3 linked regions of the Macaca fascicularis genome follow. The protein of the gene in region 3 purifies or fractionates together with the protein of the main gene of each other region. This does not show direct contact. Links are inferred from orthologs where the notes say so. Each region holds a gene or a part of one and is shown on either strand. Other genes may lie near its edges. The genes, in order: KDM3A, USP11 and TCEAL1.

What was found.
Region 1: the proteins of TCEAL1 (region 3) and KDM3A purify together in Homo sapiens (affinity purification with mass spectrometry; 3 studies listed by BioGRID and IntAct, counting the BioPlex papers as one, with this or other methods). This does not show direct contact. The link is inferred for Macaca fascicularis from reciprocal best matches to the Homo sapiens genes TCEAL1 and KDM3A.
Region 2: the proteins of TCEAL1 (region 3) and USP11 purify together in Homo sapiens (affinity purification with mass spectrometry; 4 studies listed by BioGRID, counting the BioPlex papers as one, with this or other methods). This does not show direct contact. The link is inferred for Macaca fascicularis from reciprocal best matches to the Homo sapiens genes TCEAL1 and USP11.

What each region holds. Positions count from the first base shown.
Region 1 is NC_088387.1:35,095,347-35,098,993, forward strand, and holds part of KDM3A (lysine-specific demethylase 3A), read right to left. Parts: intron 2,571-3,647; coding exon 2,451-2,570; intron 2,369-2,450; coding exon 2,229-2,368; intron 1,011-2,228; coding exon 834-1,010; intron 757-833; coding exon 622-756; intron 1-621. UniProt on the Homo sapiens protein: Histone demethylase that specifically demethylates 'Lys-9' of histone H3, thereby playing a central role in histone code.
Region 2 is NC_088395.1:47,338,979-47,343,281, reverse strand, and holds the start of USP11 (ubiquitin carboxyl-terminal hydrolase 11), read right to left. Parts: upstream 2,854-4,303; 5' UTR 2,834-2,853; coding exon 2,658-2,833; intron 1-2,657.
Region 3 is NC_088395.1:110,002,297-110,006,224, reverse strand, and holds TCEAL1 (transcription elongation factor A protein-like 1), read right to left. Parts: upstream 2,493-3,928; 5' UTR 2,433-2,492; exon of another isoform or gene 2,162-2,432; intron 1,988-2,161; exon of another isoform or gene 1,966-1,987; 5' UTR 1,658-1,965; intron 1,577-1,657; 5' UTR 1,545-1,576; coding exon 1,065-1,544; 3' UTR 513-1,064; downstream 1-512.

The sequences.
Region 1 (3,647 bases), on a different chromosome or scaffold from region 3:
CCCTGGGCTCCTTCAGACCAGTATTTCATATACATTTTAAACCCATGATTTCAAGAACTTAAAAAGCTCATTTTCCCCCTTTTAAAGGTTTTGATGCCACGTAGACCTACTCACAGTGAGTACAGGGAGAGGCAATTCCAAGGTACAGCTTTATTATTTTTCCCTAATTTTCCAAACATGAAATTATGTTACATAATTCATTACTGAAATCCTTTTGAAAAAACCACCCCTTCAGACCTCTTTCAGTCTGAGAGACTCAGTTCTGCTCTACCTAAGGGTGATGAGAACACTGCAGCACTGAAGGTTAAGAACTGTATTCATGACCCCTGACAGGCAGCTGGGCCAAGATCAGAAGACAAATCTATTCATTTTCAGTACTAAGGCCTTTCTCTGTGGGGACAGTTCCTTACAGATTCTAAACAATATCAAATCAAACCAAGGTGAGATTTCCTCTTGTTCCTCCCTCACTTAAGCAGATAGTGGTACTAGATATAAAGTAAGTTCATCAACTCACTGTGCTACTAAGTATGATATGGCCAAGTCCACTGACTCTCTTTATAAGGTCAAGAATGGGCCATGAAGCCATAGCCAGAGAATGCTAGGAATTGGTGCTATTTTTACCTGTAATTTATCTTCATGATTGGTGTGAGTCTGTGACAGATAGCGGAATTCCTGAGTAAGCCAGAAGCAGTGTTTAACATGCTCTGGAGAAACAAAATCTTCAGCCACTTTGATGCAGCTATACAAGTTATGAACCTGAAAAACAGCAAGTGATATCAGTAACCCAAAAGTTCACACTATAAAGAGAATAAAGAAAAAGTAATGATTCTTGCCTGATGTGGAGCTCCTGCCGGGATAAACACCACATCCCCAAGAAACTGCACAATAGCCCAGCCTTGAACTCCATACTCTTGATGAAGACGCTTTCTTAATGATCGGTCTAAATACCAGCTTTGATCATGAATAGGATCGTGGTCTGCTGGGTTTTCTTGACCTTGCTCTTCTGACACCTAGAATACACCCAAAATGTTATGCAACAGTAACATGCTAAGGCCCAATAAGCCATTTTTTTCCTCTAAACAGTGTTGGCAGTTCATAAATGTCAGGCCTTCTTCAACTTAAGTGCCCCCATTGGCAGAAAAAGACAAGTAGTACTGGAAGACTTCAGCTGAATGAACCAACAGAAGAAGGACGAGGAAAATGTGGCTTCTCTGATGTCAGTTCCCATAAACCATGACTGGCAGGCTCTGTGTAAGTTTGTAAATACTGTATTTAAACAATATTTTAGTCTAGACTTTTAAACATAAGTAGGCTCAGGCTCCTTATAAATGAACTTGTTTTAAAGTTATCAGAAACTTGTCTTCACTTAATCTGACTTATGAAACAGTCCCGAAGACAGCTGCAGATTAGACTTGTTTATCCTTGATCCAGTAACTGGTAAAGCAGAGACTCAGAGTGACAATATCAAAGGAACAATATGGTGACCAAGCCAGTTTTCTGCAAGAGCCAAATGATCCTTAGCCAGAAACACCTTGATTCAAACAAATGCTTGTTAAAGACATACTTGGGGCCAGCTAACAGGTTAGGAATGTTCATATCCAAGACTCGTGAATGACTGAAGCATATCAGCCAAAGACACCTGGGTTGCAACTGGCAGCCTCAGTGCCAAACAAGTTTAAAACTGAACATGTCTCATCTTTCTAGTTGCCTAGAATTTCCACACATAGCCCTTGCTGAAAAAACCGGCCAACGACAGGGGAAACCTAGAATCTTCTGAATCCCTGCATCCCTTGCTAATGACAAGTAGGGTCACTTGCTACATGAGAGTGGACAAAACCAAACTTAGTAACTCACTCAAGAACATGGTCACTCAGGGCCAAGGATACATGCACCTCTGAAGTGCTCAGATTCTTAAGGCAGTAAAAACAAATAGATGCTGGGAGATGATCAGATGAACTAACTTGAAAGCAGAGAACAAAAATTTCTAAATGCACTCTAACACAAAACACAGCCATAAAAGACAAGGCCTGCTTTTTTTAAGAAGTGTAACCCTAATCATTTAGAATCCTTGTTCCTTAGCAACCACCTTCAGCCTATTCAATCTGACAGGTACAGATTTAACTTTTCAGGTCGTGACAGTTCCCCTAGCCAAGCCAGTCAGTTCACCACATGTAACGTAATATTGGTATTCTCTATTCCTCTGTTCACACATGCCATAAAAAGCACACCTTTTTAAGAAATTCCCTTATCTTCTCCGTGTCCTTCGCAGCATATATGTGCCACAGTGCTCCTGGCTTCTCTTTTCCTTCAATAAATCGCTTTATTGTGAGTTCGTCAGAATCTCCATCTTGGATGGTCTTAAGGACTTCTAGAGCAAGAAGAGAAAGCAAATATCAGACCACAGGCCCTGGCTCAAAGAGTAAGCCCTCCTTTTATGCTCAGCACCCTACCTTCTTCTTGCTCACACTGTCCTTTGGGAATTCCCACATAGACCATGACATTAGCTGCATCAGATACATCTAAGTGAAGATTTGTTGTTCCATATTTCCGATCTTCAGGAGTGATTAATCCTGCAAAAACAAAGTGCCTTAAGTTTACGGAAGACAACAAAGGCTGCCATAGTCTTTCCACTACCTGGGGGATGGTAGGTCCCTGATTGACTCTTCTGCTGAGAATAAAAATTCTGGATCAAACTATTGCAAAAAAAAATCTTTAACCAATCAATGTGCTAGCAAGAAAAGAAGGAATACTCAGAAGCCAAAAACAGGAGGAAATGGAAGTGGTAAAGCAGGCTTCTGAAGGTGGGATTTGCCAAAAGGACATCTGCTAAATCAAGTGAGCTCAGGCTCTGATTATTGCCACAGCCTAGGAGCTCTGGGACAAGAGGCAAAGCCCAAGGACCACTCAAGATGGGGAGTCCAAGGGAAAGCCCCCACCCACACACACACATAAACCTGGAACCTCAAATGGCTATCACAAGTATAAGAAGGAACACTGCCCAACGCATTCCTTGGTTCTCTCAACTGTAAAAGAGGAGGGGTGAGGAGTGATGCGGAATGACAAGTCCCTCCAGTGTTCATAGTCTGTGGCTAATTCCTTGCTCACAGGAGAAGGCTCACCTTGCTCAGCAATCATCCTGAAGCTTACCCTGCAGTCACCTTGGGCAAGCCATTCTAACACTAGGACTCTGCTTCTTAGGCTGGGCAGTAGAGAGAAGCACAGCTTGTAGTGAGCAAGCAGCAGCTGTTTTCTAACCTGCTGGCCTCTGCAAACGCCCCGCAATACTGTTTTGGAGGAAGACTTTATCTCTGGCTTGCCTGGGGCTGTGGTTTTAGAGGGGCTATACTTTTGAGAGGGCACATTTCTTCATTCCAACTTGGGACCAGAGCCCCAGAACCCTGTTGTACTTTTTCTTTCCAGCTTGCTGAAATATCAGCCCTAGGAATAGGTAAAGCATTTGGTATTAGAATGAAATCATAGTATAGATGAGAGGATGATGAAAAAATTTAAGGAGAGGAGACAATGAAACAATTATGGCAAAAAGTTGAAAGCTCTTATATAACTGGGTGATGAGTTATATGGAGTCACTACTGTTGTGGGAAGTCAGGGACCCCAAACGGAGAGACTGGCTGAAGCCATGGCAGAAG
Region 2 (4,303 bases), about 63 Mb from region 3:
TTGTTTATTCTCAGGATGAAATGAGGCTTTTTCTTGTAGGAAAGGTATGACGTAATGGCAGAAAAACACGGCTTGGGTTTGTATTCCCGATCTGGAAAATCTCAACTCATCTCCCCAGTAACAGAGATACGCATTTCACTGGTGTGGTTATTAAAGAACTCTGTAGTGAGTAAACCTCACTCGAAAAAGCCCTAAGGTTAGATGTGTTTGAGGAACAGCAAGAGTCCAATATGGCCGGCCTGGATGGAGACAGAGAGGGAGTGCGTAATCAGAGGAGAGATCTGGGAAGACATCAGAATGCAAGCTGGAGACCAGCTTCATAAAGTCTTACGATTCACTGTAAGGATTTTAGCATCTACGTTGCAAGAGATGGGAAGCTGTTAGGGGTATTTTGAGGAATGGTTGGACATGATACATGTTTTAAAAACAATTATTGCGTACGTAAAGAGGAAAACGGTACTTTTACAGTTGAGAAACCTGGCCAACACTACCATAACCAAGTGATCAAGGTTAACATCACCAATGATGTCATGTGGATACCATGTATCACCTGATAGGAAGAGAAGGGCTCACAGTATGCATCCAGTAGAATTTTATATATATATTCCATATATGTATAAAGTGAAAGCTTAGACATTACATACTACTTAGGGATGCATACAGTTGTGGTCAAACATTAAAGAAAAGGAAGAGACTGTTAACTCAAAATTCAGGATAACAGTTTCCCATGGAGCAAGGAGGGGAATTTCCATCTGGGAGGGGCAAAGAAGGATTTCTCAAGACAGTGTTCTGAATCTTAACCTGGATGGTGAATTCACACGTTTTTATTTAATTATTATTTAATTTTTAAACTTTGAAATAGATTGAGAAAAATGGCAAAAATAATACAGAGAATTCCCACATATCCCACATCCAGATCCTCCAAATCTAATATTTTACCCATTTGCTCAATCGTTGTTTCTTTACATGCATTCTTTTTTGGTATTTTTATTTATTTAAAAATGGACAAAAATGGTATATATTTATGGTGTACAGCATGAAGTTCTGACTTATGTATACATTGTGGAATGACTAAGTCAAGGCAATTAACACATCCATTACGTCACATACTTATCAATTTTCTGGGGGGTGGTAGAACATGTAAAATCTCTCAGCAATTTTCAAGTATACAATGAATTTATTAACTATAGTTGTACAATAGATCTGAACTTATTCTTCTTGTCTAACTGAAATGTTGTATCCTTTGACCAACATCTCCCTAATTTCCCCTTTCCCCTCACCACATATAAATTTATATATGCTAATTTTTCAGGCATTTGAGAATAAACTGCTTACACAATGAGTTCTTATCCCTAAATTTTTCAGCATTTCCTATAAACAAGGGTATTCTTTTTCATGCCACAATGATCACAATTAAGAAATTAGTAGTACTAATATCTACCCACTTTAATAAAATTTCACCGATGTTTCCATTGCCTTTTACAGTAAAAGAGACAAAAATAATCTTATGATAAAAAATTGATTTTTAAAATAATTTTTTTTTTCTGTTCCAGGATCCAATCGAGGATCACATGTTGCATTTAGTTATCATGACTCGTTAAATCGCATTAATTCCTTCAATTTAGAACAGTTCTTCAGCCTTTGTCTTTCACGACCCTGACATTTTTGAAGAGTGTAGCCGTTTATTTTAAAAGGATGTCCGTCAATCTGGGCTGCGTAAATGTTTTATACAATCTTCTTAGGTCTTACGTATTTCACAATTAAAAAACCAGATGCAACTCGGCCAGAAATAAAATGAACCCAGAAGCAGTAAATCTCAAGAAGCACTGTTTAGCAAGAAATCAGTAAAACAAGCCGATTTATCAAAATTATCGGTTTTTAAAAAAAACGACTTTTTCTTGATTCTAAAACCAAAACAGTACCAAGACAGAAAATCAATTGAACATGGAAGGCCCCTCCCGTGCTAATCACTTGCACGTTCTCTCGACTCAGGAAGGCTTCTGCCAGAATAAAAAACCTCTGCGCATTATAAACTTTGCTTATTCGCAGGCGCCATTTTCTGCCTTATAGGAACCACCTCCCCTCCACTGTCGTCCCTCGGCCTCAGAACACGCCCCTCGGCTCACGTCACCAACCTAACCTCGTTCCCAGGCTCCAAGCTCCTCCCCCACGCAGGTCCCCGCTCCCTCCCTCGGACCGTTCGGCTCCATCCCGCTCTTCTGCTGACGTCACAAAGCTCGCCTCGTTCCCAGCCACGCCAGAGCAATCGGAGACCGCTCCCCGCCCCCAAAAGTTGCATTACGCAGCGCAGGCCGCGCCCCCGCCTTACATCGCAGAACCCACCTTCCTCCCAGGTTCCTACGCAGTTTCACTACGCAGGCCCGGCCCCACCTCCAGGGCTGAAACCGGTCTCATCACAACAAACCCCATTTTGTTCTCAGGCGTCAGACTGCACCACACAGGCCCCGCCCCTTTTCCAGACGTTGCGATTCATTCAAAGACACTTCCCCGCCCCTTTAGCCCGCTGTCCCGTCGGCCACTCCCCCGCCCCCGCACCCCGCAGCAGCTTTCCCGCCGCCCTCGGCCGCCGAATCTCCAGCGGTTGTCAATGCCCCCACTGTCCCCTCTGCCGAGGCTTCACCGCAGCCCAGCCTCACCAGCTTTCGCCGGCCCGCAGTGGACGTTCTCGCCCACTCTCGCCGTTTTCTATCTGGCGCCACTGGCTGTCTAGGCCTGGCAGCTCCTCGCGCTGTGGCTCTCTATCCTCAGCCACCGCCACCGCCGCCGCCACAGCCGCCGCAGCAGCAGCTGGATTTGCTGCGACCGTCGCCATCGCTGTCCGTTCTCCTCTACAGCCAACGCAGCTGTGCGAGATTGGAAGACGCCCCTCAACAGCCACTTCCGGATTCTGGTCCCGGAAACGGAAGCAGAGCCCCCCAAACAGTCGCGGGGCTACTGCCATATTGGAAATGGCCCCGCGCACAGACGCGTCGAAGGGTTAGGTGGGGTAAAATCTTCAGTGGGAACCAAGAAAGACAAAAGTGCCTTGTGGGGTTCCAACGCCCTGTAGAGTTAGGGCACAGGTGGCATGGAAAGTGGAGGCTGAGGTTCCCGAGGTGGGCGAGGACTCCTACCCTGGGAGCAGCGTTTGTTAGCCTGATCAGAATGCCCTTCATTGTACTACCCTTAACCATCAAAACCCAATGCAAAAGAGGTTTCCACCTCCAGAGACCCACCTAGGCCTGCGGGTCATTGTTTCTCTTCCTGAACTAGATTTATTCACTAGACAAGGTGTTGAAGGCAAGTTAGCCCCAGGCCCTATGTTTGTTGGAGTCATAGCAATCATAACTAAACTAGCTGTCCGCCCAGTTTAAGTGCTTTGTTGGACTAAAATAGTAGCCTCAGGCAGCAGGTACTGTCCTTATCACCCATGGGTAACAACTGGACGCTGAGTACCAGAAATGTCCCTCAGCTAATAAGTGATGGAGCTGCAGTTTAAACTTGAGAAATCTCGTTCCAGAGCTGTGACCTTAAACACCAGGTCAAACATTCTCCAACCGTGTGGTCCCAGCCTGTCTACCGGTCCAAAACTCCTCTTGGGGGTTCACAAAATGAAAACTATTTTCACAATACTTTTTCACTCTCATTCTCTCAGGGGTGTACAGTGTAATTATCTAGAGGCTTCTGAATCCAGAGGCTATATGACATAAACAAGAACTCTTTTGAATGTCTTAAACTTTTAAGAACATAAAGGAATCCCGAGGCCCAGAGTTTGAGAAGTCTTGCACTAGGCCAGGGTCTCTCAACCTCAGCACTGTCATTTCTTTGTTGTGGGCATTGCAGGATGTGTAGCAGCATCCCTGGCCTCTACCTACTAGATACCAAGTAGTACCCCTCAGGACAACCAAGTGTTTCCAGACATTACCAAATGTCCTTTGGGGGAAAAATGTCTCTGATTGAGGACCACTGCACTAGGCTATGCTATTCTTTTCTCTGCCAGGGCTGCCAGCCCTGTTGGTGATGACTTTAATTTCGAACCTCCCTTCCCCCTCACAATCTCGTAATTTACCTATTTTCAGTTAACCTCTGCGGGGCAGGGATTGTGTCTTTATTACTCTGATTCCAGCCCCCAGCCCAGACCTGGCATAGATGAGGGGTCAGTTTTGTAAGCGCTGGGTGAGGTAAGGGAGCAGCCCTTTCACTTAAGGGTCCCCAAAGAAAGTGGCATTTGAGTTGAGTCAGACACATGGCAGATAGCTGCTCTTTAAGCCCAGTTGAATCTTGTCAGATTCTCTGAATTGAT
Region 3 (3,928 bases):
CAATATCAAAGCTGGAAAAAGGGCATTCATATATCTGCAGGAGATACAATTCAGCTTGGGCCCAACAGGGACTCCAGAGCAATCAGTGAGGCTTTGTACCTTAAGCACTCCAGCATGTCAGCAGGGATGAGAGCCAGTGGAAGGATCAGGACCCAGGAGAAGGAGCAGCAGTGCCTAGCAGATACTGTAAGAATCTGAGAGTACAGCAGGACATGAATAGAATGTGGCACTCACTTGGAATCTCACCGGAATTGTTTGTGAGCACAAGTGAGATCTCCTTTGGGTACCCTGCCTATGTCTGCAGGGAATCTATAGGGGTTGGGGTCCTGCCTGTGCAGGTGGAATAAAGACCCCAAACACAGCTCACACAATCTTTTTCTCATCCGGTCCCACAGCAGCACTGTAAAGCAAGTATTATTCCTATTTAAATGAGAACAAAATGACTATTAAATATAATCAATATCTGGCTTATATTTGTGCCTAAGAGATTCAGAAAAAAACATAGGATTCACTTTTTTTTTAAGTTCTGACAAGTATTTATTAAGTGCCACATTGTCTTTATAAGCTGATTGACAGTTTTTTTCAAAATTGGGTGATTTTTTCATTATATATTTTTGCAACACAAGTAAAATGTTTGTCTTGAAAAAATGAGAAATTCAGATAAAGCAAAATTTTTAAAAATCACCTATTATCTTACCACACAACCACTGTTATACCTTTGAAGTATATACTTTGTTTTTTCTTTGCATATTAATATATAAATATACATTTTTTACAAAAATGGGATACAATATATACCATTTGAAAATTGCTTTTTTCGTTTCACAATATATAATGTACATCTTTCATGCAAATGTATATAACTTATGATTGAAAGAGGGAAACTTGTAAATTTTAGGGGGAAACCCCAACTTTAAGCGAGTTACAAGCTAAACATCTAAAATAAATCCTCACAAAAAGTTAAAATTCAGAATATGGGAAAAGGCATTAAGAAAACGCACAGAAAGTCCAGGTGGCAATGGCAATACTATTAGCAGGCAAAACAGAATTAAAGGGCGAACACATTAAATAGGATAAGGACGGCTCCGTTTTGCCTTCCAATGCATTATCATCAGTTTGTTTCTTACTCTTTTCATCTCTTCTAGCTCATCTGCTGCCTGTATCATCTCCTCATTGCTTAAATTTCTGCCATGTATGTCCCCTCTAAATTGCGGGCGAGAACGAGCCAACCTTTCTTTAAAGCTTCCTTCTTCAAGCTTATGTTTTCCTACTCCACAAGGAGGCTGCTCCATGGGAGGGCGCCCCTCAAACAGGTCCTTCCTGGAAAGGCCCTCCTGCGGAGGGCGCTCCTCCGAGAGAAGCATCTCAGGCAGGAGCTCAGGCAGGAGCTCCTCAGGAAAGAACTCCTCCTCCGAGGACTGCTCCTCCGAAGACTGCTCCTCGAGGGACTGCTTTTCGGGAGAGTGCTCCACCGGAGGCCTCTCCTCATCGGTCTTGGGCGCGCTCTGCGGCTCTTCTTCATTTTCTTTGCGTGGTTTGTCCATGCTGGGAATTTTCTTCTTCAAGCACAGTTATTCTTAGGAGACAAGAAAGGCAGAATAGAGTCAGAATACTAAGTGACTGGACTAACACCCAAACCGTGGGTTCCAATACCTGCCTTTTCCTGATTCGGGGCCCAGGCCCTCAACCTTGCGCTTTCCCAGAGGCTCTCCGGCTCTCCCGACTCCGCCGCTTCCCAGTCGCCCCCTCCTTCCCGAAAGCCCACCATTTTCCCAGCAGGCTTTGCTACAGGCCTCGCCCGCAGTGACTGGCGGGACAGTGCGGCCTGCAGACTCCATGCCTTTCGGCGTCCACCCTCGCGCCCCAGTCCCGGTCCACTGCGTACCCCTTCCCTGACCTGGACCTTTCCGGGCCGTGTGCTTCTAGTCGTCCTCTCCTCGAGGTGCCCCGCTGTGACCAGCAGACCTGCACACAGACGCAAGACAGGGTAGGGGGCGGGGAGTGGGGAGGAGGGACGGACTGACTGACACCCCCCATCCCCCACTTTCTGGGCACCAGCCACTGCCTGCACGCCCCCCACCCCTCGGGTTCTCCTCTAGTCTCAGACCCTGCTTAAAGCTTCGTCCTCCGTGCCCGCACCTCCCCACCCCGCAAAGCTTGCCATTTCTTTTCAGATGGGAAGTGGAAGCGAAGCATTCTTAGAAACTATTTCCAAGTGTCTGTACCTCCCTCCCGAGGGACGGGGGAAGCACTCGCCTTCCCACCCCGCCCCCAAGACCACCATATTTTGCACAGAAATATGGGCGCGGGAGGCGGGGCTGGAGCGTAGGGAAAGGCCTGGACTCCGCCATCCCGATTCTGTCAACCCCATTCCCCGGGTTACTAGGCAGCGCCGACACTCACACCGATTTAAGAGGGTAGAGGGAACTTACTTCCTTCTGCTTTCCCTCTCGACCAAAGGTAATAGGGAGATGGTGGACAGGCAAAAAAAGACCGGGACGAGAGGGACTTGGGCAGACATAGGCTCCTGGTCACGTGAGGGACGCGCGTCACTGCCGAACTCAGATCCCCAGTTACCACTTTGACCCGCGGCCTTGCCGCAGCCACCTGCTAGTGCCTGCTAGTGTTCCCTGACCCCAGACACACCAGGCATTGTCACTCACCTCTCTTTGTATTTGCCTTTTCCTGGTTGCCAGAGACGGTCCGCATCTAGTCTCGGGTAGTATTGCCTCTTCCTCTGTGCTACTTCCCCTGGTACCACCTCTTTCTCTCCTCCTCACTTCTTAGCCACCAAGGCCCCTTATTTCCCCTGCAGTTCAGATTCTGCACTGACATTTGACTATTCACCTTCATAAATCAGTATTATATCCTTATATCCCAACACTCTCAGTTTTAATCCACATCCATATCTCCATCATGTCCATTTAGGCTCTTTCAGCATGTTTTCATCTCTTGTCACTTTCATGGGAGACAATCTTTCACTTTTTCTTGACATCACATTTTGTTTTTTTGAGCCCCCAGACCTAAATTGGTAATCATTCAGTTCTAGACCTCTAGAAAGAGTTAAGTTTGTAAAGTTTGTAGATCTAAAAAGAATGAATACTTTAATTTTTGTAAATCAAATACGCATTTGTCCGTGTGTGTATACACACATATATATGCATGTATACACACTGAATATATTATATATTAAATAACTTATATTTACATGTGCACATATATATATATAGATCAGTAGTTATTTATAATAGAATAAATAGATTTTACTGGGACTCTCAATCCTTAACCAGCCACCTCTTGGTGCTTCTGGTTGAGGAAGTTTATATTAATTCACTAAATTGACAAATATTTGAGTTCTGGGACTGCTGGACCCCAAAAGGTAGATGCAGCAGGGAGGGCATTCCGTATTAAACTATGCAATAATTCTGTTGACCACATACTGAGTAGCAGGACTACAATCATGCTAGCATTGTCAATTGTCACTGCATTATGTATTTTTTTTATCTAATGGTATTTTATGATCTTTAACCTTATGCCTGCCTCTCACCTACTCACATCAGCCTGGATGCTACTTTCTTATGCAGATGCTCTTTCCTCCACAGAGCATACTACTTCCCTTCCCTCTGTGTTTTACACTTCCAGGGTAGATGGCCATCTGATCTGTGAGGATCCTGAGATTTTGTTTTAAAGCCAGGCTGTTTAGTAAGTTTCTGAACAGAAATTCATGTGAAATTTCCCCTTTTAAGAACTGTTGCTTTTCTCCAACATCTAATTAATTTTGTGTTGAGATGGCAGTTAGACAAATATTAGTTTACCTTCATATCTTCTTTATAACTGTTTTACTTTCCAACTTCTCTGTGGCATGCGTCTTTAAAACCAAGTTTCACTATGCCTTCTTATTTTTTCGTCAAGGGTTGGTTTCTCATTT